Alligator mississippiensis: one gene and its partner. The protein of the gene in region 1 purifies or fractionates together with the protein of each later gene. This does not show direct contact. Links are inferred from orthologs where the notes say so. Each region holds a gene or a part of one and is shown on either strand. Other genes may lie near its edges. The genes, in order: EPC2 and ING3.

Region 1 (15,482 bases):
AGATGAGAGGCACGTGGCCTGTCCATGGGTCAGATTGGACCCTGCATGCCAGGGTCAGGCCCTTGCATCTGGGTTGGGCCCTGCACACTGGGATTGAGCATTGTGCAGCCTCTCTCTGGCCTTGTGTGCTGGGATCAGGGCCTTGTGTAGCTTCCATCTGGTCCCCTGCACTGGAATTGGGCTCTGTGCTACATGATCTAGAAGAGTACAGGGCTATGGCCCATGGAGCTCCACGACATGGCACTAGGGGTTGATCTGGCCTGCAGGCTAGGATAGAGCACTTGGGATCTACAGCAATACACATACACAAGATCAGTCACATACCATGAAAAATCCCATATATGCTCTGGAAATCTACTTTGTGGAGGGACCATCATGTGTACCTGATGGTTTTATCCTAGTAGGATAGAAGTGACTAAGAACAAAACCATGTTTAAAACACTGCATTACTGAGTTTGATAGGTTGTAAACAGTATCTTAGTGCCAAATGGGGTAGTTTAAAGTAAATCAATATCTAACGTTCTTAAACTCTTTGAAAAGTGTTCATGTAATAGTGTAACACCACTGAAACTAAATCAAGTCGCACATTAATTCAGTTGTCTGTGTAATTTCCATGTAAAAACCAAATCTTAAATTTTGTAGAAGATTCTTTTTGCAAATTTTCCACATCCTTAGCTAAATATAAGCGTTTCCATTACTGTGTGGTATATATGACATCACTTACAAACATACTTTAAAATAAATCCCTCAAAGTTGGGGAAAACCTTTTCAGATTCAGGAGAAATGGAATGAAATATTCTGAAAAACTAACTTTCCTCCCTTTGCTTATGGCATACTTATTCATAGAAACATAGAATCATAGAAGTAGGGTTGGAAGGGACCTTGTAGATCTTCAGATCCGACCCCCTGCCTGGGCAGGAAGAAAACTGGGCTCAAATGACCCCAGTCAGGTAGGCATCAAGCCGCTTCTTAAAGACCCCCAGGGTAGGAGCCAGCACCACTTCCCTTGGAAGTCGGTTCCAGATCCTAGCCGCCCTGACTGTGAAGTAGTTCCTACGGATGTCTAATCTAAACCTACTCTCCAACAACTTGTGGCCGTTATTCCTTGTTATCCCGGGGGGTGCTTGGGGAAACAAGGTCTCCCCCAAACCCTTCTGGTCCCCCCTAGTGAGTTTATAGACAGACACCAGGTCCCCCCCCAGCCTTCTCTTGTGAAGGCTAAACAGGTTCAGGTCCCGTAGCCTCTCATTGTAGGGTCTGCCCTGTTGTCCCCAGATCATGCGAGTGGCCCTTCTCTGGACCCTCTCAATGTTGTCCACATCCCTCTTGAAGTGGGGTGCCCAGAACTGGACACTACTCCAGCTGTGGCCTGACCAGTGTCGCGTAGAGGGGGAGGATCACCTCCTTGGACCTACTTGAGATGCACCTGTGGATACACGATAAGATCCGGTTAGCCCTGCCAACTGTGACCTCGCATTGTCGGCCCACGTTCATCTTGGAGTCAATGATGACTCCAAGATCCCTTTCTGCCTCCGTGCTCTCAAGAAGGGAGTTTCCCATCTTAAAAGTGTGCTGCTGGTTACTACTGCCCAAGTGCAGCACCCTGCACTTGTCAGTATTGAAACGCATCCTGTTTTTGTTAGCCCACCCCTGCAACCTATCCAGGTCTTTCTGCAGTCTTTCGCTCCCTGCCAACGTGCCCACCTCACCCCAAATTTTGGTATCATCAGCAAATTTGAACAGGTTGCTTTTTACCCCATCATCCAAATCGCTGATAAAGAAATTGAACAGCGCAGGTCCAAGGACTGAGCCCTGGGGGACTCTGCTGTCCACTTCCCCCCAGGTCGAATATGACCCATCCACCACCACCCTCTGAGTATGACCCTTCAGCCAATTCGCAATCCATCTGACCATGTAGGCATCAATGCCACAGTCACCTAGTTTTTTAATGAGGATGGGGTGGTCGACAGTGTCAAAGGCCTTGCTGACATTATTTGAATTACCATGATGCCAAGAGACTCCCAGGTCAGATCAGGGTTTAATTCTGCTTAGTGCTGTACACCAAAGAGAAAATAGGCTGAGGGGTGGGTAAAAATATTTTATCCATGTTTTAAAGATGGGAAATAGAGGCAGAAAAAGTTTAAATGCTTTGCCCCCAGTACCATAAAAAATTGTGGCAGTTGAGAAATTAACTTAGATCTCCTGAGAGCCAGTCCACAATGCCGTACTTAGAAGACCCTAAGGAGTGACTGACTTTTGGTTTTTATTCTTTATCATTTATTTTATTATCCAGTTGCCTGGTAGAAAATGTGGTTCGGTTTAGCTAATTTTTTTATCGTACTATGCGTTGAGTGATTAGATCTACTTTAGGCAGTGGGTAAGATGAGGGTGTATGTCAATTATATAATTTATATACAGACTTTTGCTAGCAAGTCCCTTCAAGAAGGGTATCAGTTGCAGTAGGAGAAACATGTAATTCTGTACTGTGCCATTGTACCTACATAACATGCACAGGGTCTACAGAATTCACGGAGTTCAGTCTCAGTCCTACCTGATTACAAAATTCAGTGAAGCCAAGAATGAAATGCCTCTTGCCTTAAATGATGTCTAGATCAATGGTAGGCAGGGGCAGGTACAGTGGCATGGATGCATCCTTTTCCCCTCTTCCCCTTTCCTCTTCCCCCCAGCCCTCCCCCCTGCCCCCCAACTTTCTGATCACACTGTGGAAGCAGCAGCCAGGTATGTTTTTTTCTATTCATATATTTAATAGATTTCATAGACATTAGGGGCTGGAAGGGACCTCATGAGATCGAGTCCAACCCCCTCCCCCCCCCCCCCCAGGCAGGAAGACAGCTGGGATCAAGTGATCCCAGCAAGAAAAAATATCTAGACATTTTTTGAAAGAGTTCAGAGTAGGTGCTTGCACCACCTCTGGGGGGAGTCTGTTCCAGACTCTGGACACATGCACCATAAAGAACTTTTCCCTTATGTCTAGTCTAAATCAGCCTTCCTGGAGTTTGTGGCCATTAGACCTTGTTATCCCTTGGGGAGCTCTGGTGAACAGGCGTTCTCCCAGGTCCTGATGTACCCCTCTTATATAATTGTAGGCTGCTATCAAGTCACCCCTGAACCTTTTCTTTTCCAAACTGAAGTGTCTCAAATCCCTCAGCCTCTCCTCCTATGGCCTGCCCTCCAGGCATTGGATCATACGAGTGGCTCTCCTCTGGACTCTCTCATGCTTTTCCACATCCCTCCTGAAGTGGGGGGCCCAAAACTGGATGCAGTACTCCAGCTGTGGCCTCACTAAGGCTGAGTAAAGTGGGAGGATGACATCTCTGGTTTTGCTTGAGATGGATCGGTAGATGCACACCAGAGTTTGGCTTGCTTTGCCAGCCACAGCATCGCATTGGTAATTAATATTCATACTGTGGTCAATCAGGACACCCAAGTCTCTTTTGGTTGTGGTGCTATCAAGTGTAGCACTGCCAAGCTTGTGTGTTGATGGTTCTTCCTACTGAGGTGGAGCACCTTACACTTCTCTACATTGAAGACCATCATGTTTTGGTCAGCCCACCTTGACAGCAGGTCCAAGTTGGCCTGTATCCCCAGCCTGTCCTGCGGTGTGACTGCCCGCCCCCATAATTTGGTGTAATTTGCAAATTTGGCCAGCTCACATCCGACTCCCAAATCCAGATCGTTAATGAAGATGTTAAAGAGTACTGGCCCAAGTACCGAGCCCTGAGGGACTCCACTGCTCACCCTGTGCCACATTGATTTGGTTCCATCAACTAGTACTCTTTGGGTCTGATCTTGTAGCCAGTTACCTAGCCATCAGACTGTAAGATGATCAAGGCCACAGTTCCTCAGCTTAGCCATGAGGACACTGTGGGAAACTAGGCTTTCTTGAAATCCAGATATACGACATCTACGTCATCCCCCTTGTCCAGGCTTTGTGTCACCTGGTCACAGAAGGAGATGAGGTTGGTCAGGAAAGACCTGCCAGTCACAAAGCCATGTTGGCTGGCCTTCAGAAGCTTGCCTTCTGTTAGTTTGGTGTTGATGGATCTCTTGACAATTTTATCTAGGATTTTTCCTGGGGTGGATGTCAGACTGATTGGTCTATAATTCCCCGGGTCATCCCTCCTCCCGTTCTTGAAGATAGGAACCACATTGGCCCTTTTCCAGTCTTCTGGGACCTCGCCCGAGCACCATGACTTTTCAAATATCTTTGAGAAGGTGGGGTGTAATGATGTCTTCTGGCTCCTTCGAGGCTCTTGGGTGCATTCTGTCAGGGCCCACGGCCTTGTGAATGTCCAGATTCTCAAAGTGTTCCTTCACCTGATCCACATCAGTTTTGGGCCCGCCACCCGCTCCCAGGCTGGTTAGTGTCCTTTCTGACAATATGATCCCCTTGAGAGGGTGAAAAACCAGTGCAAAAAAATTGTTTAGGAGATTGGCCTTTTCTTGGGCATCGAATGTCAGCTGCCCCGTTTGATCCCACAGGGGCCCAATGCTACTTTTAGTCTTTTTTCAACTTCCCACATATCTGAAGAAGGACTTTTTGTGGTCCTTGATCCCTGAAGCTAGCCTGAGTTCAGTTTGTGCCTTGGCTTTTCTGGACCACTCCCTACAGGTATGGGCGAGTGCTGAGTAGTCCTCTTTGGTGATGCTTCCCATTTTCCAACTGGAGTAGGCTTCCCTTTTGAGTCTAATGAGATCCAGACCCTCCCTTCCCTTCCATCCTAGTGTGTCCCCTCTTCTTCCACCCCCCCCCCCCACACACACACACTGCTGCTGCCACTGTCCCCACTGATGCTGCTGTCCCTTGCTCACTTCAGCCAGGAAGAGGAGTGACAATAGGTAGATTCCTCCGCTCTGCTCCTCTCTGTCTGGTTCCCTCTGCTCCTGCTGTCCCTTGCTCAGCCTGGTTCCAGTGGCTCTGAAGTCCCACTCAACCTGCAACCCTCCCAATTCATTTCACAAGGGAGAGAACTGGACACTCTCACCACCACCACCCAAGATAAGCCAGAGACAGTATCAGCAGTGGGCAGGGGAGGGGGAAAATAAATTGGATCAGACATGCTGCTGAGGATGGAGGGGGACGGGAGAAAGTGCTGAGAGCAGGGTCGGGGACAGGCTTTTTACTAGTTTTGGGGACTTAAAAAAGTCCCTACTCTGCTTGCCTCAGTGCAAGGAGGGAGCTGGGAACAAAAGTGCTGTCATCCCTCCAGTGCCAGTTGCTGTTCCTACACCCCTGTTCACAAAATCCTGGATCCCCCCCACGAGGGTAGACAAGCACTAAGGTTTGCCCATGACCACCACTTGTTCTCTTGGCAGCATGGGGAGAGCATCCACAGCCAGTTTGTTCTATAGTCATGGGCTAAATTCAAGCTGCAGGCCACAGGATGCCAATCTTTAGTCTACATCAGTTATCAAGTGTGTCCATACCTCAGTTGGAAATCTGGTCCGACACCTCTCAAATAAGATGTAAACAAAAGGTCCTGACCATCGCTGGTCATTAAAGAACAAAATAGCATGTCAGAGAGGTGGCAAGGCATTTCACATAAGATTTTATAGATCAAAATCAATACCTTGACCATGGAGTAAATAATTATCTGGAACATTAGAAGTATTCAAGGCTTGTACACCTTGAGTTATTTAGGCATAGCTTTATTTTAATAACTTTGTGAGATACCCTTACTCCTTACATCCTACCCTTACTCTGTGGAGTAAGGATTCCTGTTCCTATGTAGGTTAGCCCAAAGAGCATTTAGAATTAAGCTAAACAGAAGCAAATTATCATTATCCCAGAAAAAGTGTCAGCAACAAATTTAAAAAAATGCATGTGCATGAATAACTTACAAGCCGTGGGAAGCAGTACAAAATAAACAGGTACCTGCCTTCTGCTTTCCCTGAAGCTTCTGGATGCTCTTCACAGCCAAATACCTACATGTAGAGAGCTAAGGGAAAAAGATATGCCTGGGTAACTACAAGATTGTCTTCACTACAGTGTTAATATGAGAGCGAATTCAACATTTAGCCTTGCCTGACTCTCCTATGCACATACATACATCTTGAGTTTGAGTTAAATAGTGCTTTAAACTGCAGCTGGCTTGCATGTCAGGACAAGCTGTTGATGCTGAGGCTGGAGCTAATAATACAGTGGGGACTAGGCTACTCTGGTGCTAATCCACTCACTCTGTACTGCTCCCCTGTTAGTACTCTCACTCCATCTAGGCTAATGAGAGAAGTTAACTCAAGCACACATTAAAGCTGCAGTGACAATGAGCTTTTGTGGTGGTGCTACGAACTTCCATTTTTTTGATCCCAAGATACAGGTACCGCGAAAGCTAGGTACTGTAGCCTCACTATGAAGGAACTTCTTCCTGACAGGAATATGTAGGGTTGATCTCATCAATTTTTACTGTGTGGTAAAGAAAAAATGTTTAGACTTTACTACAGTCTTACCTTGGGATCACTCATGCTTGTGGTTACCTCCAGGTACAAAATCACACCTTTTTAGCAGGGAAGTCAAGCGTTAAGTCTCTCAGGGCTCTGTCACCTGTGGGTGCAATCCAGGCCTCAGTGAAGGGAAAAATCACTCCAAAATTTCAGTGGGGACATGTGGACACTATCCTTCACTGTGGGCTAGGTGCACGTTTTTTTAAGCTATTAGCTAATGTATACCACAAAAAGGGGGGTTACATCAGTAGCACTTCTCACTGTTGTAACCCTTTTGCTCTCCTACTCTACTCCCCTCCCCACCCCCCCTTTTTTTTGCTGCTGGTTCTTCCTGTATTAGGTTAGAAACAACCTCTGGGTGCCCCTGAGGACAAGCCCCTTACAGCTACACGCACCAGCTCTGTAAACTCAAAGTCACTTCATCAGAGGCCATGAAGAGACAGGGTCAAGCCATGTCCACTTCATATCGCGTGCTCTGTTGTCCTTTCATGGCCTCTGAACTGAGGTGTAGTTCACCAGAGCTACTCTCTCTCTCTCTCTCTCTCTCTAATCTGCTTCAGTCAGTCAGTAAGTTGTGCATCCCCACTGCCTTCTGCCTCAGGTGGCAAACTCTGTTCCTGCCTGTGAGGAGCAGTTGGGCTGAGCAGCTCCTCTGAGATGTGTGCCCATGGCCAGGACTCCGACTGTAGTGGTCTCTGGCACAGGACTTACCCGCTATCTGCAGCACCCACATGCACCAGGGATCGTCTACCCCAGGACTGTTCAGTGGAGTCTACATATGATGTATGTGTGTGTTCATGCACGCACAGCTGTGCACACCTGTGTGGGTGCACGTTGCGCAAGCTGCATGTGTGCTTACACACATGTACATGTGCATGTGTGCAGTTGTACACACGTTTGCCTCCAACTTGCACATGTGCACACCTGCATATGCACAGCTTTGCACTTGTGTATGTGTACATGTATACATTGTGTGCATCTATATATTTGCGTGTAGCTGTGCACACCTGTGCATGTGTGTACATGTGCACAAACACTGTGCAAAGCCACGTGGGTGCATTCACAAAAAGAAATACTGCAACCAGCCCATAGTTGGTAAGTTTTATTAATAAAAGAGTTGTCATCTCAATACCAGAGAGAGAGAACGGTAAGCTATTTTCAAAACACTGCTAAATATGAATTGGGAAGATGGTATTAGTCAAGGTGTGCACGTCTGTGTGCATAGTTATGAGTGAGTGGGTGGTGTGCACACGTGCTGTGCACATCTGTGTATGTGCGCAACCTGTGTGTGTGTGCGCCACTGTGTGCCTGTGCATGCTGTGCACCCCTGGGTGTGTATGCGTGCTTGCCCGCGCTGTGCACACCTGTGTGCCTGCGCAGGGGCAAGGACAACTCCAGAGTGCGGGCCCAGGGCTGCCTCCCGCACGCTCTATCCCCGGCCGGCTGCGCGCGCAGCGCTCTTCCCCCCCCCCCCCCCCAACTCCCCCCCCCTCCCGCCCGCGCCGCTCCCCCTCCCCCCGCGCTCTCGCGGTGGCTGCCGGGATCGCTGGCCGCTTTGGTTAATGTCCGCCATGTTGGCCATGGCGCAGGGAGCGGAGCGGGCGAGCCCGGCGCGGATCTAGGGCTGCGGGGCGCGCGCTGGGAGCGGCGGGCGGCTCTGCGGGAGCTGGTCCGGGGCGGCGGGGCCCCCCATGGTGCGGCGGGCCGGGCGCGGGAGCCGGCAGGCGGCGGCGCGGCCGCACTGAGCCCCCCGCCCGCCGCCGCGGGCTGTTATTGTGAGGGGGAGACAATGAGCAAACTCTCCTTCCGCGCCCGGGCGCTAGACGCCGCCAAACCGCTGCCCATCTACCGCGGCAAGGACATGCCCGACCTCAACGACTGCGTCTCCATCAACCGGGCGGTGCCGCAGATGCCCACGGGCATGGAGAAGGAGGAGGAATCGGTAAGGGAGCCGCGCAGGGGGGGCACCATTGTTTATCAGCCGCCCCCCCTCCCCTCACGGGAAATAGGCCATTGGCATTCACCAAGCGCACTACGCACGCTCCCCGCCGCAGCGCCCCGCGCTCCTGACGGGGCCCTGCGCAAACAGCGCAGCGTCAAGCCCGCTCCGGCGCCGTAAGCGGGCCCTGCTCCGCCATCTTCTTTGCGTCCGGACTCGCGAGTGTTTTGATGAGCGGCAGGGGGAGGCCCTTACGCTAGCGTAGAGCGGGAGAGAGGCGCAAGACGCGTCTCTGAATGGCGAGGTGTGCGCGTCGGCCGCAGTTGGCGTAGCGGCCTGGGGCTGCTGCTGCTGGTTTCCCCGCGCTTGCGGCGTCCGGGCCGACGGCGGCGGCAGGTCTCGGGCGGGCACGGCGGGGTTGCAGCTGTCACGGGCTGGGGTCCCACTCGGGCAGACGAGAGGAGGCATGGCCTGTTCCGCAGCTGAAGAGACCTCACCTGGCCTATCATGCCAGGTCCGTCACCTCGGCCTCCGCAGCTTGGGGTGCGGGATGCAGCAGCTCCTGCCATCCCAGCCCGCAGGAATCTCCTTCACTTGTCATAGCAAGCACCGCTTTGCGCACTTCGCCCTAGGGGTACCTGGATCCCAGCTGCTGTCTTGCAAGCGGTCGCATTGAAGTGCCCGGTTGCTCCTGTGAGAAGTGGCTACTTGCTCTTTGAGGAATGGCAGTAGGTGTTGTGGGCCACATGGCGCATGTTGAATGAGGGCCGGCTGTGGCTGCAGAGCTGCAGCTGGGTCCTGACTGCCCTGTGCGTTATAGTGTTTAGTGTGGCCAGTCATGAACTTGTGCTGCATGTGAAATGTTTGCTGTGCCTTGCTGTAGCGCTGCAGGTGGAGGTGGTGTCTGTGTCTTTGCACGAGGGTAAGGTCTTGTGGGAGTTAGGACAGTACTGCCACAAAGCTGATTGCTGTCCATAATTGCAGTGCTGCTTCGGTGAGCTTGCTGTTGCTGTCCGTAAAGGCTGACTTCGGCATTCATTTGGTTGGTGTCTTGCTCACACCAGCGGTCCCTTATATGGTTGTACTTGCACTCAGAATTGATAGTAAATGAACCCTCAAGAATTTCTTCAATGAATCTCTGCTGCCGCCTGGTAGTCAACCCGCTGTGGATGTGGATTGGCTTTTCAGAGGTGGTAGCTGTCAAAAGGAAGGTTCTGCGTTTCTGATTGGCTTCCCTATTTGACTGCTAATATTGAAAAAGATCTTTTGTATCTTCCATTGGTTACTTATAGTTATGACCTCATTGTATTTTTCATGGTATTACAATGTTTATAATGTATCGGTTTCACTGCTTCTTGATCCTCTAAGTGTGTTTTGATCTTGTTAGAGAATGAAATTGTCCTACCATCCATGAGTGTATTTAGAACAGAGAGAACATTCCTAGTACCAGCTTGGGGAAGGATACGCCTCTTTCACTTTCAGGAAGATCTAACTATCTTTTTACTTTTAAAGAAGATACATTAATAGCCATTTAATTTCTGTGTTGATAGTTTATTATATTTTTGTGAAGCATGGGAGGTATGTTTATAAATACAGGTATATATTAAAAAACCAGGAGTTTCTAAATTTTAAAATCAAACGTCTCAGATATTTAGGCTTAAGAATAACTTCACTGAAGGGTGAATGATGCATGCATATGCACATGTGTACACAGCAGTGTACACACTTGTTAAAAAAAATCTCTTGTAATAACAGAATCCATACACATTAAAAAATAAATAAAATCTGCTTGTCTTAGAATGGAGGTTTGCCGTTGTACCATTCAGTTAATCTAATTGCAGCAATGTTATACAAATATTCTAATGCCAGACTGCAATACTGTCACATTGACTGCTTCACAATGTACAAGTATTTCCATTGAATTCTTTGGGACTGCTGGTGGTGTCAGGTAATTTTCAGTGTAGGGTACTGCAACCTGACCCTGAATATTACAGTCTTCCCAATTCAGATTCACAGGTTATTTTCAAAATACCTACCTTCTCTATATCTTATCTTTGGGGCAAAAGTTTTATTAATAAAACTTACAGACTATGTTCGCATTGCTATATTTCTTTTTGTTTATGACCCCCATCAGAGTTCTGGAGTCGGGATGTCTAGTACATTTCGGTGCGCTAGCACCCATAACTTTAAGATTAAGAGTTGAGTCAAATTCTGTCACTTATTTGCATAAATCTAAACTAATTAGCATTTGAATTTAATCTGGATTTATATCATAACTGACAATAGAATTTGGCTCTATTTTGTTTAGTTTTAGAATTTGGGAGAGAGTCAGTGGTTCAAATTCTTCAGCTACTGTGCTGGAAATGTACTTTATCATATTAGCAAACATTGCTGTCATAAAGGGAATTTATTTTAGTACTGCAACACTTAATGTAGGTCTTAGTTTATAACTACCCAGTCTGATCTGAATGCATATTTTTGAAGTCTGTTGTGTTTCTACATTTTTAGGTAAAAACTCATGTTTAATAATAAGGCAAGACGACTTCACTAGTGAGTGAAGGTATTAAGAAGTGGATTTGACTTTCTTTATGTAGTTTCAAGCACAAAAGTATCACAGTAATAATTGATAGCTTTGGGCACTTTAGGTGCTATTGTAGAAGTAACTCAGAATTTTAGGTTTCAGCATTCATTCATTTGTAACTAGGTTAGGCACTTAAGTATGAACTTAGAGATTAAGCAGAGCAGAAACCCAAGTTAAGGATATATTTAAAAATGCAGAAAGGAGTAAGAATGCAAAAAAAAAAAATCTTATTTACTTGGTTTAAGGTATTTTATCATTATTCATAATTACATGATTGCTTACATGAGAGTTTTGAAAGGAAGGGAGAGGGTTAAATTAAACTTAAATTTTGTCCCCTAGTTTGCCTTTGTGTCCATTTTTAAATTTCATTACAGTGTTTTGAACACTTGGCTTCTGATAGGTTTTTTTACTATATTACCTGCTTGGAACTAGTAGTATTTCCAAAGCAGCGTACTTGTTCTTTTAATTGAGGCTCTTATGTCGGAGTGCTTTCATCTTTAAAAAATCATACTTGTAATGACAACAAAAACATTTAGAAAAAGTAACACTGAAAGTTACTATAACAGAAAGAAACGAAGGAAATCTGTATGATCATTTCTTTATCTTTTGCATTTGGCAGCATTCTATTTTTAGTTTTAATGCTTTCTTGCTTTATTCATATAGTTAGGTACCAGTCCTATGATTAAATTATTTCAGGTAGATCCTTATATCTGAAGAGATTTTAAGTGAAATCATGGGGCCCTCCATAAATCTGGTTGCAAGATCAGACCCAGTACTCATTCCTCCCTCCTGCTCTTAGTGTGTGTGTTGTGGGGAGGGAAGTTACAATGTCTCTATGACCATTAACTTACTAACACTGGCAGAGGAGGCTCAGAAGTAGCCTTAAACAGCTTGCCAAATCGGCTGTTGTATTGACCGGGTTGCTAGTTGACCAAGGTACTTTTGTAAATGTCATTGACAGTCGCCGATTCCTCTTGAACATTTTCCTCAAACTTTTGTTAGTTTAGTCCCTCTTCAGGAAAATTGAAATCGGTCATCCCTTGCTTTGACCTCTCTCATCTATTGATAAAATCCTTGTTAATGTGATAATCTCTAAATCACACACGTTCTTCAGAGTTCTTCTCCCATCTTTGGGAAATGATAACATAGATCTTCATAATCTGATACTTCTTTCTTGCATATTGTGAGCAGTGAAATAGTTAATAGTGTTGATGCATGTAAAATTATCTAGCTCTTCCAGACTTTATCAGGTGGATAACTATGCTGTCATCTCCAATCAAAAAATACTGGACTAATTGGTAATTACCACTGATTTTCAGCAGGGGTGTTCCTTCTCCCCCTTGTTTTATGTTGCTCTGCAGCAGACCTCTGCTACAGAAACTTGAATTCTGTGGATAGATCATATGTTTGAAGATCTTGAGTTTGCTGCTGATATTTTTCTTTGAAAACATCAATAAATAAAAGGTAGCCATAGGCTGATAACCTAGCCAAGATTGCTAAATAAACAAAAACAAGAGTTATGGAAGTCTTTTTGACCTTGGATGATTCCATCATTCCCAGAGGAGTGGCTTTGAACTGTTGATAAGTTCACTCACCTAGACACAGTGCTTTTTCAGAACTGTGGTGATTGAATCCATGATATAAGAGCTTCATTGTAGGTAACGCCACCACTGCTTTTCAGAAGATCACTCATATATGGAGGTCTGACAGCACTAGCACAAAGCTGCAAATCTTCAGTAATAATGGACTAAGCAAGCTTCTATACGGGTCAGCTCATAAAGGGACATGTCTGTCTCTCTTTCTCTGTGGTCTTGCAGGCTTCCAGGGCCTAGAATGGCCTTAACTACAGCCTTCCATCTCCTCCTGTCTTATGCTGTCTCCTTCCACCTTGTCACATCTTTACCAGATCATTTTCTCATTGCCTTGGTCTTTCTTGAGATCTGATATCCTCCTCAGCTTCCAAAATCTGCCTCGTGTACTGTCAGTTCTTGTGATATGCCCTGCCCATTTGATTATCTGTGCTCTTATCTTGCTTGAGCCATCAGGTCCCCTGTAAAAGTTCACAAGCTCTTTATTATGTTCAGTGAAAATTGGACAGCTTTCAGAGTGGAGGCCTGCTCTGCGTATTCTACCTAACCACTTTCCTCTGAACAGAAATGTCAAAAACCTGTTTTTTGACTGGTGGGGGGGGAATAATACAGCAATTCTCCTGTTCTAGAGAATATAGAAAGACTGCAACTGGTCCAAGAGTTTGGAACAGTAGGGATTCCTATTTGAAATCTTTGGGTTTACCTTGTGAATCATGTTTGTACTCTTAACTATGTTATGTTGTATAGTACCTCACAGCACCCTTGGAAGGATCTCAAGGCACCCTAGTTGGGAATTACTGATCTACAGGCTTTCTGCTTACTTCATTGGTCAGTGTTTTTAGAGTATCTACCAGTTACTTTAAGAATGCATAGATTTCAAATCATAGAAACTTTGTATTTTGATTTAAAAGTTTTGGTAGCTGACACTAGGATACTACTCAGCCACTGACTTCTGTGATTGAAAGCAAGTCATTTGCTGTGTCTTTGTCTATTACACATACTTAACAGGTTTTCCTTAAGGATAAAATGATGTTTGGGAACACTGGTTCAACATTACTAAATGTATAAAAATATTAAATATATTTATTAAACAAAATGATAACTCAGGATTGTTTCTTGTATACCACAGTTCTTTAATCATACTCTAAGATCGTGTGAGCCTGTCTTTTCTCATTAGACTATGATCTATCTATATATAAAATCTGTGTTTCTCACCCCGTAGTACTGAGTGGACAGAAGCCTTCAAAGGTTTTTGGTTTTATATTGGCTCTTGTTTACAGTTTGTTTATACTTCTGATTTTCAAAATTTGATGTTGAACCTTTTCTCAAGGTGACAAGCAAGTGTTTTAGTCATTCCTCACTGAATGATCTGTGCTGTGGTGCAGCACTACAAGGTTGTTGTTTTTTTTTAATGTTTTGTTATTGTAAGCCTGTATCCCTCTTAGCAAAAGCTGTGTGTATGTAGTAAACAGACCTATTTTATCTGTTTGTGGATAGTCATTATTAAACAAAAGTATTTTTTTAAAAGATACATTATTAGTTTAAGGTAGGTATTGATGATCCCCAATTGCTGGTGTCCAAAGTTCAAATTAACATTAAACAAATGATTCCACTTTTATTTTTGATCAGGTTCATGGATATATGGTAACTGTTTGAAAAGATAATGCACTAATAAGTTGGAAAATTTGAGTTTACTTGAAATTTCCTAGCTTTTATAACTGTAGTTTCAAAAGCTAGGAATTGGAATAAATATATTCTATTCTAATACCACTTGTAAGATATTAATTGTTGAAAGCATTTATGAGGGAATATCTAGTCTGTTCTTCCATGCAAAACTGTTATACATATTAATTTTGGAGTATTGTTGGTAGAGTAATTAAATTATACTCTGTCTTCAAAACAGTAAGAGCACTCCCTTTCATTTCCTGTACAGACCTAATGTTCCAGGACCTATTCTAAATTTTGGGGATACATTAATGACATGATGTTTACCTTCTCCCTCTTGACATGTCCCCTGCCCACCCTTTATGAAAGAAGCAGAGGACGCAAATGGTTAACGCGGGTATTATGAAGTCTCTGGGATAATGGGTTCAAGCTACAGAAAAGTTTTATAGGCTAAAAATAAAACCTAGGAATGAGTGATTATGGTAATATCTAGGTATAGAATCTCTAGAGATTTTGCTTCTGTGCAAAGTTTCCTAAGTGTAATCAAGACTAGAAGTTTCCTTTACAGGAGAAATAGGCCAGATTTGATTAGAGTAAGTTCTCCTAGCAATTGATAACATATCTACACACAAGTTTCTTTTCATTAGCCTACTTTACAGCTATTGTTTTATTTACTTGCACATGAGATTTTTGGAGATATGCCTTGCAAATCCAGCAAACACTACTTTGTAAATCTCTATAAATCTTTTTGCTAATGAGACATTATTTTTAGAATTTGTAACTCCCTATAAGAACTTTTCTCCCTCTTTACTCATACCCCACTCATTCATATAAGGAGGAAGGTTTCATTTCATTGTCTTTTTTCCCCCTTCCTCACCAGCATTCTTTACTTATGTCCTTTTTCTACCTATTGGTCAGTGCTGTTAGTAGCAGTTGTTCTCTACCCTTCCTGTGGCTTAAGTCTTCCACTACCAGATCAGCCTTAAAAGTGGAGGAATATGACCTTTCAGTCTACTCATGCATTGTTACTTTCTGTTGATGTTGATGCTGCACTGTTAAAACTTAATAGGATCACACAAACATAGCTACTGTTGTTGACAGGGAGGTGCTTCACTGGTTCCATGTGGTAAGTGTAAATCGCTGTCTCAGCACTGGAACCTTACAGATTTTTGTAGTACATCTAATTTTCCTTTTATTGAAAGAAACCTTAGAAGGAGATTTCTTAAGCATGTCGACTCATTTGTAT
Region 2 (14,731 bases), about 180 Mb from region 1:
ATTTGAAAATACTGCTTTTTATTAACAGTGACATTCCTAAGCATCCCATCTTACTGAAAAAGAGACGTAATTTATTACTTTGTCAGTAATAAGGGAGTCCAGCGTAGGAGGTTTTAAACCAGTTTCCAAACTGTTTCAGGCAGCTTCAACAGACATTTAAAAAAGCACTTTAGCTGTAAATGTATAAACAGTGACCACTCATATCCTGCAGACCTGCAGGAAACAGCTGAAATCTGCAAGTAAATTCAACAGAGTCTGTGGCAGATAAAATTAACTAAAAGATGAGGATGTAATTGCCTGAGTCAGTACAGAGTGAAGCTTGAAGATAAATGGCAGTTCCATTTTCCTGTCGACTATTAAAGTAAATTAATTATCTGAAGCGATGTATTTATTTTCTGAAATAGCAATGTGAAATAAAGAATTTGCAAGAGTTTCTAACATGTAGAAAAGTTGGTTACTCTGCAATCACAATACTTATGGGCCTAGTTTGCCTTTTTGAGGATGATTTCTGAGAAGCGTGAAGTTTCTATCAATCACTCCATAGGTCAAGGGCAATGCTATTTATCTGATTTTCTTTCTCTGCTTCTGTAAGATCTAGCTTTAGATGGAGTTTTTCATTTAATAAAATTACTCATAAAGTTTCATAAAGGTACTCAGTCTCAAGAGAATTATTGAATTGATGTTCCCCAATGGCTGTACAGTGCAGCACCAGTGCAATGACAGTTACTTCCTCTGTACTGAGAAGAATACACCAGGAGAAGAGATGGACTATTGGAAATGGTAGGATCATGACAACTGAAAGTAATAGTTAAATTAGAGAGAAAGAAAAGAGAACTGGAAAGAGTGGAAAGACCGCAGCAAGAGGCAAGGCTGTCTTCTGAGCAGAAGATGCAGCAAGGGACAGGAAATGAAGAAAAATGAAAATAAAATAGGGAAAATAGCAATGGGCCTGATTCTGCAGTTCTTACTCAGGTAAAACTTTGCACACTGGCCCTCAGCAGCAAATTGTCACTGGAGCTGTAAATGGTTCTTGCTTCATTTGACAGAATTCCTATAGTACAGCTGTGGAAAGTGTCATATATCGTTGAAAAAAATGCACCAGCATTTGAGGGACCTCTCAGCCTGGTATTTGTCCACAGGCTCTGGTTGTCCCATTGCCCTAGTGTAGCTTGGTTACCTATGAGCCTTTGAAAGTATTCCTGTAAGAACAAAATCTATACTTCTAGATAGGCAGCAATTATTTACACTAGAGCTTGGTCCAAGTAGTGGCCCGTGAGGGGTTAAGGCGCTCAGCTCTTGTCCAGGTGCTCCTCCACCCACTTCTGGGCTCCAGGATCCTCTTCCCTCCTATAGCTTTCTCTGCCTGCATCCAATGCAGGGTGCATGGTGCAGTGGGGAAGGATGTACAATGCAACATTGCAGGGGAATGGGCACTCCATGTAGTGGAGGGGCAGGTACCCATTACAGTTGAGGGAATACCCATGCAGTGCAGGAGGCGGGTGGTGTCCACACAGCATGTGGCCCACAGGGCCCATAGTTTGTCCAGGTTCCTGTAAGACAAGGGGAGAAGCCCATAGGGGCTGCACCCTTTTGGTGTCACCCACAGGGCATTTGGCCCCCAGCTGCTTAGAAATTGGACAACCCCAGCTTACACCACATCAGACGCTTCTGGTTATGATTGGGAGCAGACTGACAACTGATACTCAGTAAGACGTCCAAGCACAGGCAAAAAGCTGTAGTTATTCCAACCCTACAGCCTCAGCCTAATTTTGGACTAGGCCACTGGATTCTGTCTACTAGACTTGGCAGAAAGAAACGGTACAAAGAGGGAACCCAGAAATATAATGGTAAGAAGAGAAAGAAGTTGATAATGAGATGACTGGAGCAGTAAATGGGGAGAGAAAATCTGAAGTCAGAGAGGTAAAGAGAATGGATCTGACAGGGGTGTGCAGAAACAGGCAAGCTGGAATGAAGAGCTACAATGAGGAAGATATGATAAGAAATTCTGGAAATAGTGAAGACAAACCTGAGATGGAAGACAGCTAGAAAGGGACAGAAGAACTGAAAAGGGACCAGAGGGAGATTAAGAAAGACTTTTTAAAATTTTTATTTTTAAGTTGATGAAATGCTTTTAAATGTGCATAAGAATATTTCATCATATGCAAACATATAAGTTATTCACTTTTCTAATCAGTTATGATTCCATTAATAGAAAAAAGAGATTTTTTTCATGCAATTTGCTTTGAGTCACAGAAAAACAGTAATATTCTTTAGGTATAGTGTAGCATGCTAATAGAGGTGACAATATGCAATTTATGTGGAATGCTTGCAGGACAAATGCCATTAATATCAGTAATTTTGCCATATAAATCATTCATAGGAAATGGCAGCTCTTATGGCCTCCACTCCTCTGTACTAAACAGTTTGATTGTTCTTTGGCATGTTTGAGCAGCATGGAATGAATTCAGTAGCTGAATCTTCTTTTTTCTCAAGTTCATGAATGTTTCACAGTTGGGGTTCAGTTTTCTTTGAAGTTTATTTGCATCTCAATAAGCTCTGTCACTAATCTATTTTTCCTTAATTGTAGGCAATTAGGATGCTATAAAAGCCAGGTTAGTCAATAGAGTTAATTCTCCACATTTATGTACAATGGGAAGTTTTTCATCTTTAAAAAAAGTCTCTTTTTATGGCCTTAACTCATTCTATTTAAAAAATCAAATTATAGCTCAGTTCTACCACTCTTACCTGTGAGCAGGATCTATTTGCATGTAAATCTCATGGAACTAATTCTGACTATTCATATTATCTGACTACCTAATATGAATAAAACAACAGAAATGAAACTGTAGTGAAAAATGTGAGACTCTAGAGACAAAATTCACATTGAAAAAGCTAAGGGCAGATACTCTTGTTCCTATATACCTCTTAATAGATACTGAACCAGATAGATCCTACATTCACATTCTTAAAACCCCATTGTTGATTGTATCAGAAGACTGATTTTGACCTGAACTGAGTTGTCTAAACAGTAACTCAAGCTCCTGTCCCAAAATACTATAATACTCACTCTTCTTGAAGGAGAAAAAACAAATTCATATTAATTTTACAAGAGCTGTTAATATTCTCACTTTAAAAAAAGACATGGTATGACAAACATTTTTAAAAAATGACTTCATGTCCCCAAATTTCCCAAAACTCATTCAGCTTTTCTCTAAAGAAAACAGGATACAACTATCTTAACCTAAGATTTTGGGCTGAGTTTTCTTTTAATGTGAAGCCCTTTGACTTCAGTGAGTAGATAAAGATTCATCAATCCTCAGCTGCAGAAAGGATCAGAGTCTTAGTCCCCTGCACAACAAATTGTGTAGAAACAATTTTGTGTAGAAACAGGCTTCCTTTCCTGTCTCATTTTTGTTAAGTATCGGCATGCTATTCCTTCTGTAATGAAAATGACTCATTTAACTAGCTTGCTCTCATTTAATGGAGTTCTCTGACAACTTATAGCTGCTCTTCAATTAATTACTTAAGTTAATTTTATATCGTCATTTTAGAATCAGAGGTTGATAACACTGTGACCTTTCTGTAGAATTCAATGCATTCAATGAATTGAACTTATATTTAATAATGCAAAGCAGCTGGTTAAGATTATATATGAAGGACTTTATAAGTAAAATTTTTTGAGCCCAGTTTTCCTCCTGCCCAGGCAGGGGGTCAGACTCAAAGATCTACAAGGTCCCTTCTGACCCTACTTCTATGATTTTATGAAAATGGGTTTCCTCATTTATCTTAAAATGTCTCATGACAATCATCAATATTTGTCATTTTAGCTCCATGCATTGCACTTGGACAATGGGGTGTTTCCTGTAAGCAATATGGTACAGAGCTTGTCATCTAGGACAGTGATTCTCAACCATGCTGCTGTGGCATCCTAAAGCAGGGTTGGGCAAAATGCAGCCTGGGGGCTGGGTACGGCCCGCCAGGCCATTCTATCCAGCCCGCGGGGCCATTAAAACATTTAGAAAATTAATATTTATCTGCCTCTGGCTGCCTATCATGCAGCCCTCGTTGGCTTGCCAAAACTCAGTAAGCAGCCCTCCACCCAAACTAATTGCCCACCCCTGCCCTAGAGTGTCATGACATTCTTTTAAGGGTGCCACAGGGTTCCATGCAATACTAGCACTGTTAGGTGTGTAAACACCCACAAATGATTCATTAGATAAAGCCAGAGATTTCGAATAGGAATTCATAGTGTCAAGAGGATTCTTATTGCAGTTTTTCTGAGTTATTTGCAATGAAAGAATTGCTCTATTATTTTTTTTGTAGTAAAAAATGAGTGAAAGCTGAAAGCTGGCATTTTCTGAGGATGCCTCAAGTCTAAAAAGTTTGAGAATCACTGATCTAGGCCTTCTGGTTAATTGCAAAAGTATGATGTAATTTCTACCTAACAACTGTTCAATGACTGACATGGAATTAGCCAATGCTCTCAATCCAATTTTCCATGTATAAATGTACTCACCACAGAAATGCCAGAAGATACCAACTGTTAGTCATTGGATGTCTTTGCAGAATGGCCAAGGGTGGGATGTGTATGAAAAATGGGTGCTTAAATGCATGTGGAAGTGCCGGCGGCAAAACCAGAAATGCTGCTGGCACTTCTCTCAGGCGGTGCACCTCTATGCATCACCAATGCTTAAATGCAATCTTTCTTGAAGAAATCAACATTCATTGTTCTCAGACCTTTTTAGAAAAGCCTCTGTAGGTCACCACAATATAGGACTTTTTAAAATGTCTTTTTTTTTTTTTTTACATAATGTTTGTCCAAAAATAGTGAAAAGAAAACTATTTTCCACATATCCCAGATAAAAAAAAAATATGTCTGAGATTTAAAATTCAAATGTATTTTAACTAGTTATACATCAAAACTCTTTAAAAACAAGAAAAGTATCTGTTCTGCCACAATGGACTGGAGAAGGACTAACATAATACCCATCTCTAAAAAGGGGGTGGGAAATTACAGATCAGCTTTCCTGACTTCAATACCTGGGAAGTTACTGGAATAAACAATAAAACAGCCAGTTTGTAAACACCTGAAGGAAGAAGAGGTGATCACTAGTATCTGGCATGTATTTGCTAAGTGCAAAACATGTCAAACTATTGTGATTCCTTTCTTTGACAGGATAACTAGTTTGACAGACATAATGTACTTTGACTTTAGTAAGGTCTTGGTAGGTCCTACATGGCATTCTTATAAGTAAATTAGAGAAATAAGGGCTAGATAAAATCACTGCTAAGTCGAAACATAACTGGCTAAATAACCACAAGAAGAGAGTTACTATAAATGAATCAATGTCAGAACAGCCCAAAGTCTCACAGGGGTCTGTTATGTATCCTGTACTGTTTGACATTTTTATTAATAATCTGAAGGAACAGCAAGTTTCTCAATCAAGTTACAGAGGACATACAAGTGGGACGGCTTGCAAACTTTCTACAGGACAGAACAGGCCATAGCCTGGAGTTCCTCTCCTTTTCCTTCCTCTGCTCTCTCGTCTGCTTTGAGGGCAGGATGCTTTACCTTGAAACAGGCAACTGCTTGGTTGAGGCTGTGGCATCACTGGAGTCTGTTGGCAGCCAGCTGCTCCGAGCTCTTGATGCTGTCATCCATTTGTTCAGGTATGCCTTTAATGTGTCCTTGTAGAATTTCCTCTGGTCACTGCGATCTCTCAGGCCATAAGTGAACGGGGAGTAGATCACTTGTTTTGTAAGCTGAGAGCCAGACATCCACACACAATGCCCAGACCAGGGAAGTTGGTGCTTGAGGATTACTGACTCAAGCTGGTAACACTGGCTTTAGCAAGGATGCTGGTGTTTGTATGGCAATCTTCCTATTTGATGTGGAGAATTTTTCCAGGTGCATTATTGGTAATACCTATCTAGGCTCTTGAGATGACAATGGTAGGTCATTCTCATTTCACATCCATAGAGAGAAGTGGGAATGATGACTGCATTGTAGACCTGGATCTCGGTGTCTTTCTGGAGATCACAGTGAATAAAGATAGGCTGCAGCAATTTTCCAAGGGAGGCACTTGTGTACCAGATCCCGTGCTGCAGTAGCAACACATAGCGGGTGAATGGGGGTGCATGTGCACCCCCTGAGCACGCTGGTGCACCCTGTGACCAGCCACACTCCCCACTTAGGCAATGAGCGGGGGGCCGGGGGGGGGGGTGGCAGGCAGGAGCACCAATGTACCCCCTGCAAATGCTGGCCAGAGAGTGGGGGAGCCGATGTAGCACCATGGCCACTTCCAGAAGCACTGCAGCCACTTCCAGGTCAGCAAGTTTTTCTGCGGGGGAACTCTTACCCCCCAGGTGGCAAGATTGGCTGCGATTGCTGACTGGTCACTGGCACGTGCCCCCCCTGACTAAGACGGCACCAGTTGCCCATGCTGTGCTGGATCTCCTCATCAGTGTTCACTCTCTGAGAGGTAGCTACTGAGGTAGGGGAAGTTCTTGAATACCTCCTAGGTCTTTCCCTCAATGGTAATTTGGGTCATATTCATGGCCTGCAATGGGCTGATAGACCACTTCTTCTCGATATTGAGAGGGAGACCCAAAGTTCGGTAGGCTTTTGCAAAGAGATCTGGTGTGGTCTGGAGGTTTTCCTCAATGTATGCAAGGATGGCACACTTGTCAGAAGGTGGATGTTTTCAGAACTTTGGTCTTTGAGGGAAAACATCCCAAATTGAAGAGTACTCCATCCGTTTGATATTCAGTGTCAGTTCTGGAAGTAAGGTGGTCCTTAATGAGAACCAGGATGACTGTCAAAAAAATGGAGATCAGCATTAGAGTAACGATGCATCCTTGCTCGACTGCAGTTCAGATGACACATGGATCTGTTTCTGATCTGCTGCAAAGACTGCTCGTAGTCGTCTGGTCATGGAGAAGGCGTAGAACCTTGAAGAACTTTTCAGAAGTCAGTACTTTCCACAGGGGTTTGTGACTGGTGGTCACAATCAGAGGCCTTAGTAAGCTCACTGAAGGCCATGTACAGGTCCTGATATTGCTGAATGAAGCCAATGTTACCAGTATTAAGGTAGTGATACTCAAGCACCAACTTTGCTGGACCAGACATTGGATGTACATACAAAGCTCACAGAAGTTAATCGCAGTCCACTGACTTTATGTCAGGCCCATTTCATGTTTTGTTATATACACCAGTGTACCATTAGATATGAAAAAGGAGCTATTCATGACAGCATATGAAATGGGTACATACTGCATGGCATTTGTACAAAAAAAAGTGTGCAAGTTATATATATTGTCATCTCATGTGGTATTAGTGTCATATTATCAATCTTACATATTAAGAAATAACAACAACCAAAAATGTATATATATCACAAAAATGTTGACTTTATTCTCATGCCTGAAAAGGGCATTTTGTGCTTGAAACCTTGTTTAACACATATGCAAATTGTAAGATTTTAAATAATACTGTATTTCAGGTTCCTTTTATGTAGCTTCTAATTTTGGGGAGCAGATGGGGGGCAAGGGAGGCTTTAAGGCACTTTGATTCAGTACCTCAGGCACATCAAAAGCAGCAAATTTAGATTGACTTCCAGTTCTGTCTCATATACCCCAGAATTCTGCGCTATTGTAGGAATATTTGCAGAAATTGGGTGGCAAATTCTGAACGCAGAAGTGATTGATGAAGGCAGTGAATGCAATGAAACCTACTATGGAGCTCTGCTCCAAGGACTTTTTTGCATTGAAGAATGTGGGGGGCTTAACATGTGGTGCGATGCGTTAGCCAGGGTTTGAATGACACTCTGACTCTTTGTGTGGGGGGTCTGTGGCAGTGGCAGCCGGAAGCTGGAAGAAGCCACTGCCGTTGCCTTAAGTGCTTAGAAAGGCACGGGGTGGGCTGGGGGCCCTCATCTTTTTTTGGGGGGGGGGCGCTCTTGTCTCTTATGGGGACCCCCCCGTAATTCAAACCCTAGTGTCAACCAGGAGGGCTAGAAATATATGTAAAAAACTGAAAGCTGAGATCCTCCTGAAATAACATGACCCCAGGAGCTAGAGCTCTCAGGAACAGGAGCGGGGGCACCTCCAAAAGAGATTGAGAGGTAGCAACTCCAACTTCCAGGAGGGAAAAACCCTATGTCAACTATGAGGGCTAGAAATATATGAAAAGCTGAGCTCCTCCTAAAAAAACGTGACCCATTCAGATGTGCTTCAGGCCTTTGGGGCAGGAATACGAGCGAGTCACTGAGAAGCTCCACTTTGCCGCCCTGCACTTGGCACCGCAAGAACTTCCACTGTCCTGCCGCGCGGGATGAGGCCCCAGCTGGGCGCGGAGCCTCCTGGGACATGTAGTCCCCGCCCCCTTCCCCGCCGGGGTCCCCAGCGCGACTACACGTCCCAGGATGCTGCGGGGCCCGGGTACGTCAGCGCGGGCGGCAGCCAATCGCAACGCGGTTAAGGCGAGTGCCCGCCGCCGCCAATGTTGTTTTCGCTGAGTCGAGCTGCTGGCGTTGTTGGCGGCGGCGCCATATTGGAAGGGACGAGCCCGTTAGCGAGGAGCCCCTGGGCGCGGGCCCGGCCCGGCCGCCGCCATGCTGTATCTGGAGGACTATCTGGAGAGTGAGTGCGTGCGGCGGGGGGGGGGGACGGCGGCGCGGTGCGGGGGCGAGGGCGGCGCGGCGGCTCCCCTGCCTCCGGCGGCGGCTGACCCCCTCCCCCCGTGTGCCCGCAGTGATCGAGCAGCTTCCCATGGATCTGCGCGACAGGTTCACCGAGATGCGCGAGATGGACCTGCAGGTGCAGAGTACGTGAGTCCCGCCCCGCCCCGCCCCGCGCTCCCCTCCCCCCTCCTCCCCGCCCGCGGGGGGCGGGCCCAGCTCCAGCCCCCGCCCCACGCTCGGCCCCGGGCGCTGCCCCGCGGGGAGGCGGTGCCGCCGCTGCTGCTGCCGGGGCCGCGCGCAAAGAGGGGCGGAGCGCTGGAGCCCCGCGTGCAGGCGGTCCCCGGGGGCGGCGCTGCTGCCCTGCCGCTTCTCCTGGCAGCGGCTGGGTGCCCGCGTGGGGGCAGCAGCGCCAGGCTGCGCTTCCCCGGGGCGGCAGAGAGCTGCTGAGCGGAGTCTCCACGTGGGAGACCAGAAGACCCAGGAGGGGGCGACACTGCCTGGTCCTGTCTGCAGCTTTTTTTCCCCCTCCTTCTCCTTCTTCCTCCTCCTCCCTGTTTTATTCTTCAGTTTCATTGCCGTGTTGTTGCTTTGCATGGACTTGCTTGATTTCTACTTGGGGTCACCAAGTCTGTTTGAATCTGTTCCAGGAGGCTTCATCACATGATGTAATGACAGTCAGGAAGGCAAATGCACATGACTGTTGCGTTTTAAAAACCCACTGGACAACTGTATAAATCAGAGGTTGACACTTAAACGATAGGGCATTTATTAAAAGAAATATTATCTCCTGGGTGACTCAGCAGTCTCCTGGAAATTTATCTCCAATTCCTGGAGGGTTGGCAACTCTATTTCAACCCCACCTGCCTTGTCACCTTGGTGGCACCCATATGCAACCTCATGCCTGCTGTGGGCTGACACCTCAGTTACAGCACGAGGTCTTGGTGTTTGCGCTGGTGTCTGGACTGTGAAATAGCATTTCTATTTCTCTGGTCCTCGAGATCATCCCGTTCTTCCTGGGTGAGATCCCAGTCCACAACTCCAAACTTTGTGTTGCCAGCAAATAGCGTTTATGCATCCCATGCTCCGTCTTTTTCAGGCTACAGTGCTTGAAATCCATGGGACTCCACTCATGATATGAGGCAATGTGTTCTTTTAAAGAGTAAGGCAGAACTAAGAGTAAACAAGCTCAAGTTGAGACCACATGAGTGGCAGAATATGTTTGGGGAGCTGGCCAAATCACATCTATTCATCCTCAAAGTTTTAGTCCCACTTTTAATGCTTTTTTTTTTTTCTCTTGTGCTGTGTCAGGTACTAAATCTCTTCACAGAAACTCTTGATAAACCTGAAGAAGGGTGTTTGTGCCTGAAAGTTTGCAAAGAACAATTTTTCCTACTACTCAGTTGGTCTAATACAGGAGCGGGCAATTATTTCAGGCAGAGGGCCACTTACCGAGTTTTGGCAAGCTGTAGAGGTCCGCATGGGTAGCTTCGTTCCTTGCCAGGTGCCCCGCTCCCTGGTCACCATCTTGGGACTGGAAGTCCCACCTGCTTAACCTCTGACCTTTGCCACCAGAAGTCCCTCTCCTTGCCCCTGCAAGTACTCCTTTGGGGAAGAGGGTTTGCCATCTAAGGTGGTGGTGGAAATAAATTATATAGTAAAAGTCAGGCACCCATAATGATATATTTTAATTTAATTTAAAAAAATATTATTATCTGATTTGTGTGTGTTTGTGCTATATATGTAGAAGTGATTGCATAAAAGCTCAAAATACAGTCGTATACTGTGTCGGGTGTGCATGGGTGTCAGGAGGTATGGGGTAGGTGGTTTGTGGGGAGCTTTGTGTGGTTGGGTATGGGGGTTTGTTGGGATGTCTCTGGGTATGGTATTGTGGGTATGGGAGACACAGGGTGCAGAGCGGCCAGCGGGTGGGCAGGAAAGTGGGCATTTCCCTGCTTGCATCCCCCTGTTCTCAGCTGTGCGCAGGAGTGGAGGGTCCTGCCCAGCCTGGCGCGGTCCTGGTGCATGGGCAGCACCTTATTGGGCTCATCCATCACCGTGGGAGCAGGACAGAGCACACAGAGCCAGCTGCCTCCCTCTTGGGGCTGCCCTGCTGCCTACACGTAACTACCGGTAGCGGAAGCCACGGCTCCCATCTGGCTGCGCACACCCACTCGCTCCTAGCCCCGCCAGCCCTAGCCCTGTGGCACAGGCAGGGATGACTGCAAGCAGCCCTGACCCCACGTGCCCCACCCTCGCCTGTGGGCTGAGCACCGTTGGCAGTGGGGAACAAGCTGCTGCTCAGCATGAGAGAAAAGTAGCCATTCCCCCTCCTGCCACCTGTGCTCCCTGTGGCAGCCGCCCAGAGCCCATGCAGGGCTGTCCTGCCTCTCCTCTGTGCCCCTGCCACCCATGGGGCAACTGTGGCAATGGAGAACGGGCACAGGCAGCCCCACGTGGCCTCCAAGCAGATGTTGCAGGGAGTGCCAGTGGCGGGAGGGGGAGGGACCGCTTTTCCCCTCAGTTGCAGTTTGTTCCTCACTGCTGCTGCCAGCCTGGGCCCTGCACTGGCTCCAGGCTCGCCCATCAGGCTGAGTAGTAGCAGGGCACGAACTGCTGCCAGGGCAAATGAAAATACACCCCCCTTACCACCTCTGGGCTGTGTTTGCTGGGGGAGCCCACACCATGCTAGGCTCCGCTGCAGCTCTTTTGCTGCCGGCTCTGTGCTGCCCAGTGCTGCTGCTTCACGTGGCCACAGAGCTGGCGGCAAAAGAGCCACAGCAGAGCCTAGCGTGGAGCAGGCTCCAGCAAACTGCCCAGCGGAAGGGGGAGTGCTTTTCCTCTGCACTCAGCTGCACTTTGTTTGTCACCGCTGTTGTCAGCCTGGGCGCCGCAGCGGCTCCAGGTTCACTCAGTGGCCTGAGCAGCAGCAGTGGCAGAGCACGAAAAGCTGCTGGAGCGGCAGAAAAGCAGCTGCTTCACCTCCCACCACCGGTGCTCCCTGTGGCAGCTGCTTGGAGCCCACACAGGGCTACCTGTGCTCTCTCTCCACTGCCACCACTGCTCCATGGGTGGTGGGGACATGGTGGACAGACAGGATAGCCCCAAATGGGCAGGGAATGCTGGCAGCAGGAGGGGGAGGGGCAGCTTTTCCCTCTTGCTGAACTATTGGCTTGCTCCCTGCTGCTGCTGTTGCTCAGCCCGGATGGACGAGCACAGGGTGTGCAGGATCAGTGCTGTTTGCGGTCATTCCCACCTGTGCCCGCCACGGGGCTGGGAGCAAGCAGGCACGTGGCAGCTGGGCAGGAGTGTGGGACCTGTGCCAGTGCCAGCACCGGCATGGCCCAGAGCAGGCGACAAGAGTGCAGGGTCCCAGCTGGCTGGGGCTCTTTGGAGCTGGGCCAGCTCCCCTCTCCCTGCTGGCACAGTGGAGCCCAGCTCCATAGACCCCTGCCATCCTACACCCCATGTTCCTGCCACTTGCTCTGGGCCCTGCCAGCGCTGGCCCCGGGACACTGGCATAGGCCCCACACTCCTGCACGCCTGCCCCCACTACCACTTTCCCCACTTCCTCTTTTTACCTGAATTTCCTTCTCAGGGGCTTCTGGTTGTGGGGTGGGTCTGGGTGGACCCTGCTATTGCAGGAGCCTGCTGGGGCTTCCCCTGGGTCCTACTGCCCCTGGCTGTTGTCATCTTTGACAGACAGCTGGGGCAGACAAATATTAATTTTCTAAATTTTTTTTAGGGGCTCCACAGGCCAGATAGGATTTGGCCCATGGGCCATATTTTGCCCACCCCTGGTCTAATACAAGATATCACATTTACCTAAAGAACCTTGTGTGCCTTCATAAACACAACATTTAGGCCCTGGAAGTCTGTAGGAAATGTTTTGACATGCACCTTGTGTTCCCAGTAACTTTTGCATAGCAAGAGAGAGCATCTTTAAGCATTGTAGAAATTTCAGGCTCCTTTCTCATCTCTTCTGGTCTAAGTACTTGTGAGGATTCCCACCAGTTAAATGCTATAGATAAACCAGAAGAATCTTCTGGCAGTGCAGAATTCCATATTTCCACATTTTGAACAACTGTTTAGTCAGCTGACTCCTAAGTTAGTGATGGCTCAGAAATCTGCAGGTGCTGCGACTCGAGCACCTGGCCAAAAACTTCTCTCCATTAGAATTTGAGCTGCTCTTGGATCATATCTTGCACCAGCTAATGAAGGGGTATTTCTTGCCACCAAGCAGTAATGGAAAAAGTGTAAGTAGCAGGTTACAACTATTCCATTTGAGATAACCATGGCGATATTGAAGCTCAGCTGAATTGTATCCAGACTTTTGAGCCTTGAAGTGGAGATTTTTCAAGTGAAGTATTTATTGTCTTTCTGGCTTTCCATCCAGAGTGGATGGATGGTCAAGAAGAAGCTTGTGCACTAGAGAGTAACTCCTTTGAAGATTTGAGAAAGCAAGGGTAGAAAAGTCACCCCCCGTTCTCTTGGGTTCCAGTTACCCACACGAAAAAGGGTGCTTGCCTTTACTTTAAGGACAACCTTCTAGAGGCATGACACACTTCAAAGGGATTCACTTTTCACTTGACATCTTATCTGGCCTCAATGGTATTAGCACAGACAAAGGTCCTAACGATTTTTTTTAATGTTGAAAAAAGTCACTGTCAGTCATGTGAAGACCTCATTGTCTGGAAAAAGAATTAGTGACTTCAGGCCTTTACGTTGTAAGCTAGTGGTTTTTTGCCCAAGAAGACATCGTGCATAGTGGAGCATTTGAATAACTGACTTGTCTTCAAGATTTACAGAGGGCCATTTCCCAAAAGGACTTAAAGTAAGAATAGCAATTTTATTTTTGCAGTGCTTACAGGTAGCATGAACCCACTGTTATGGTTCAGTGATAGAATCCTTGCCTGTCATGCAGGAGATCTGGGTTCAACTCAGATGCACATACAACTACAGCCATCAAGGTGCTGAATGTCTAGACTTGGTCTGGCCTTTGGAATCTGTCTCAGTGGTCTAACGGAGAGATGGAAGGTCTGGGAAGCTGCTGCTTCTCCATACTCCTGCCTAGGCATACACATCAAAAGTTCTGGTGAAGGTCCTCTCATGCATACACCATGATCCAGAAAGATTAAGGTTTGCTTACCACAGGTAGCATGCATCCTTGTCTTGGGCAGCACATAAACTACTTCACTAGGCTCTGAGTCTTAAGATCTAAGTCAGTTTGTGATCATGGTAGACTTCTGTTTCTGCAGCATCTGCACTTCTGTTTCTGCACCAAATTCCTTAAGGACCTCTATACTTCTGATAAAAGTTAAGGAAAGTGTGTCTTGAGTCATTTCATTTAGTGATTTCTGGTAAATTCAAAAAAGCCAAATTATTGTAATGTAGTGACTTTGTAAAGGTAACAAGTCTTCAGCTCTAATCTTGCACCAAATTGTAGAAGGGTTAGTTTATCCTAAAGACTAATGACACCATTTTACAAATGAGTTCCTTACTGGTGAGTTGGTAGGTCTGTCTCTACTTTTCCCTTGTGCCCATTTCTGTTAGGCCTTTCTCCCAGTGCTGGATCCTAAAAGATGTTCAGGTATTTTATATATGGTGGCTGAAACCATTAGACTACCCTCCCTGCCAAAATGAGGCTCCATAGCCTGGAACTTGGTGGTGAGTCCTGTCTCTGAATCCCTGCATGGGATCCAGACCCATGGAGCAGATCTTTTAACACCGTTGTGTTATACAGTGCTGCTTAATGTTTCATTTGACACCATTTTTTGAACGTTACTAAAAGCTGTCCAAATATATACTGAAGAGTTTTGTCATCTATCCAGCCTGGAACTGGAAGTCTGTTAAGGCTAATTTTTGATAGAGGCAGCTGCTGGTTTTGGAAATGTGCCAGGTAGCCACGTACTTATTCCACCCATTCTACAAAGCACTATTGTTTGCGTGCAGCGGAGAAATCCTCCTTCCGTCTTCAAGTCTTACAGAATTTATTGGAACTTTATTTCCAAAATAGGGAAATAAACTCTTCCCATTCCTACGTTTGCGTGTTT

The links.
Region 2: the proteins of EPC2 (region 1) and ING3 purify together in Homo sapiens (affinity purification with mass spectrometry; 3 studies listed by BioGRID and IntAct, with this or other methods). This does not show direct contact. The link is inferred for Alligator mississippiensis from reciprocal best matches to the Homo sapiens genes EPC2 and ING3.

The regions. Positions count from the first base shown.
Region 1 is NC_081827.1:228,920,853-228,936,334, reverse strand, and holds the start of EPC2 (enhancer of polycomb homolog 2), read left to right. Parts: upstream 1-8,053; 5' UTR 8,054-8,251; coding exon 8,252-8,404; exon of another isoform or gene 8,405-8,420; intron 8,421-15,482. UniProt on the Homo sapiens protein: May play a role in transcription or DNA repair.
Region 2 is NC_081827.1:46,127,794-46,142,524, reverse strand, and holds the start of ING3 (inhibitor of growth protein 3), read left to right. Parts: upstream 1-8,487; 5' UTR 8,488-8,612; coding exon 8,613-8,640; exon of another isoform or gene 8,641-8,643; coding exon of another isoform or gene 8,644-8,644; intron 8,645-8,752; coding exon 8,753-8,824; intron 8,825-14,731. UniProt on the Homo sapiens protein: Component of the NuA4 histone acetyltransferase (HAT) complex which is involved in transcriptional activation of select genes principally by acetylation of nucleosomal histones H4 and H2A.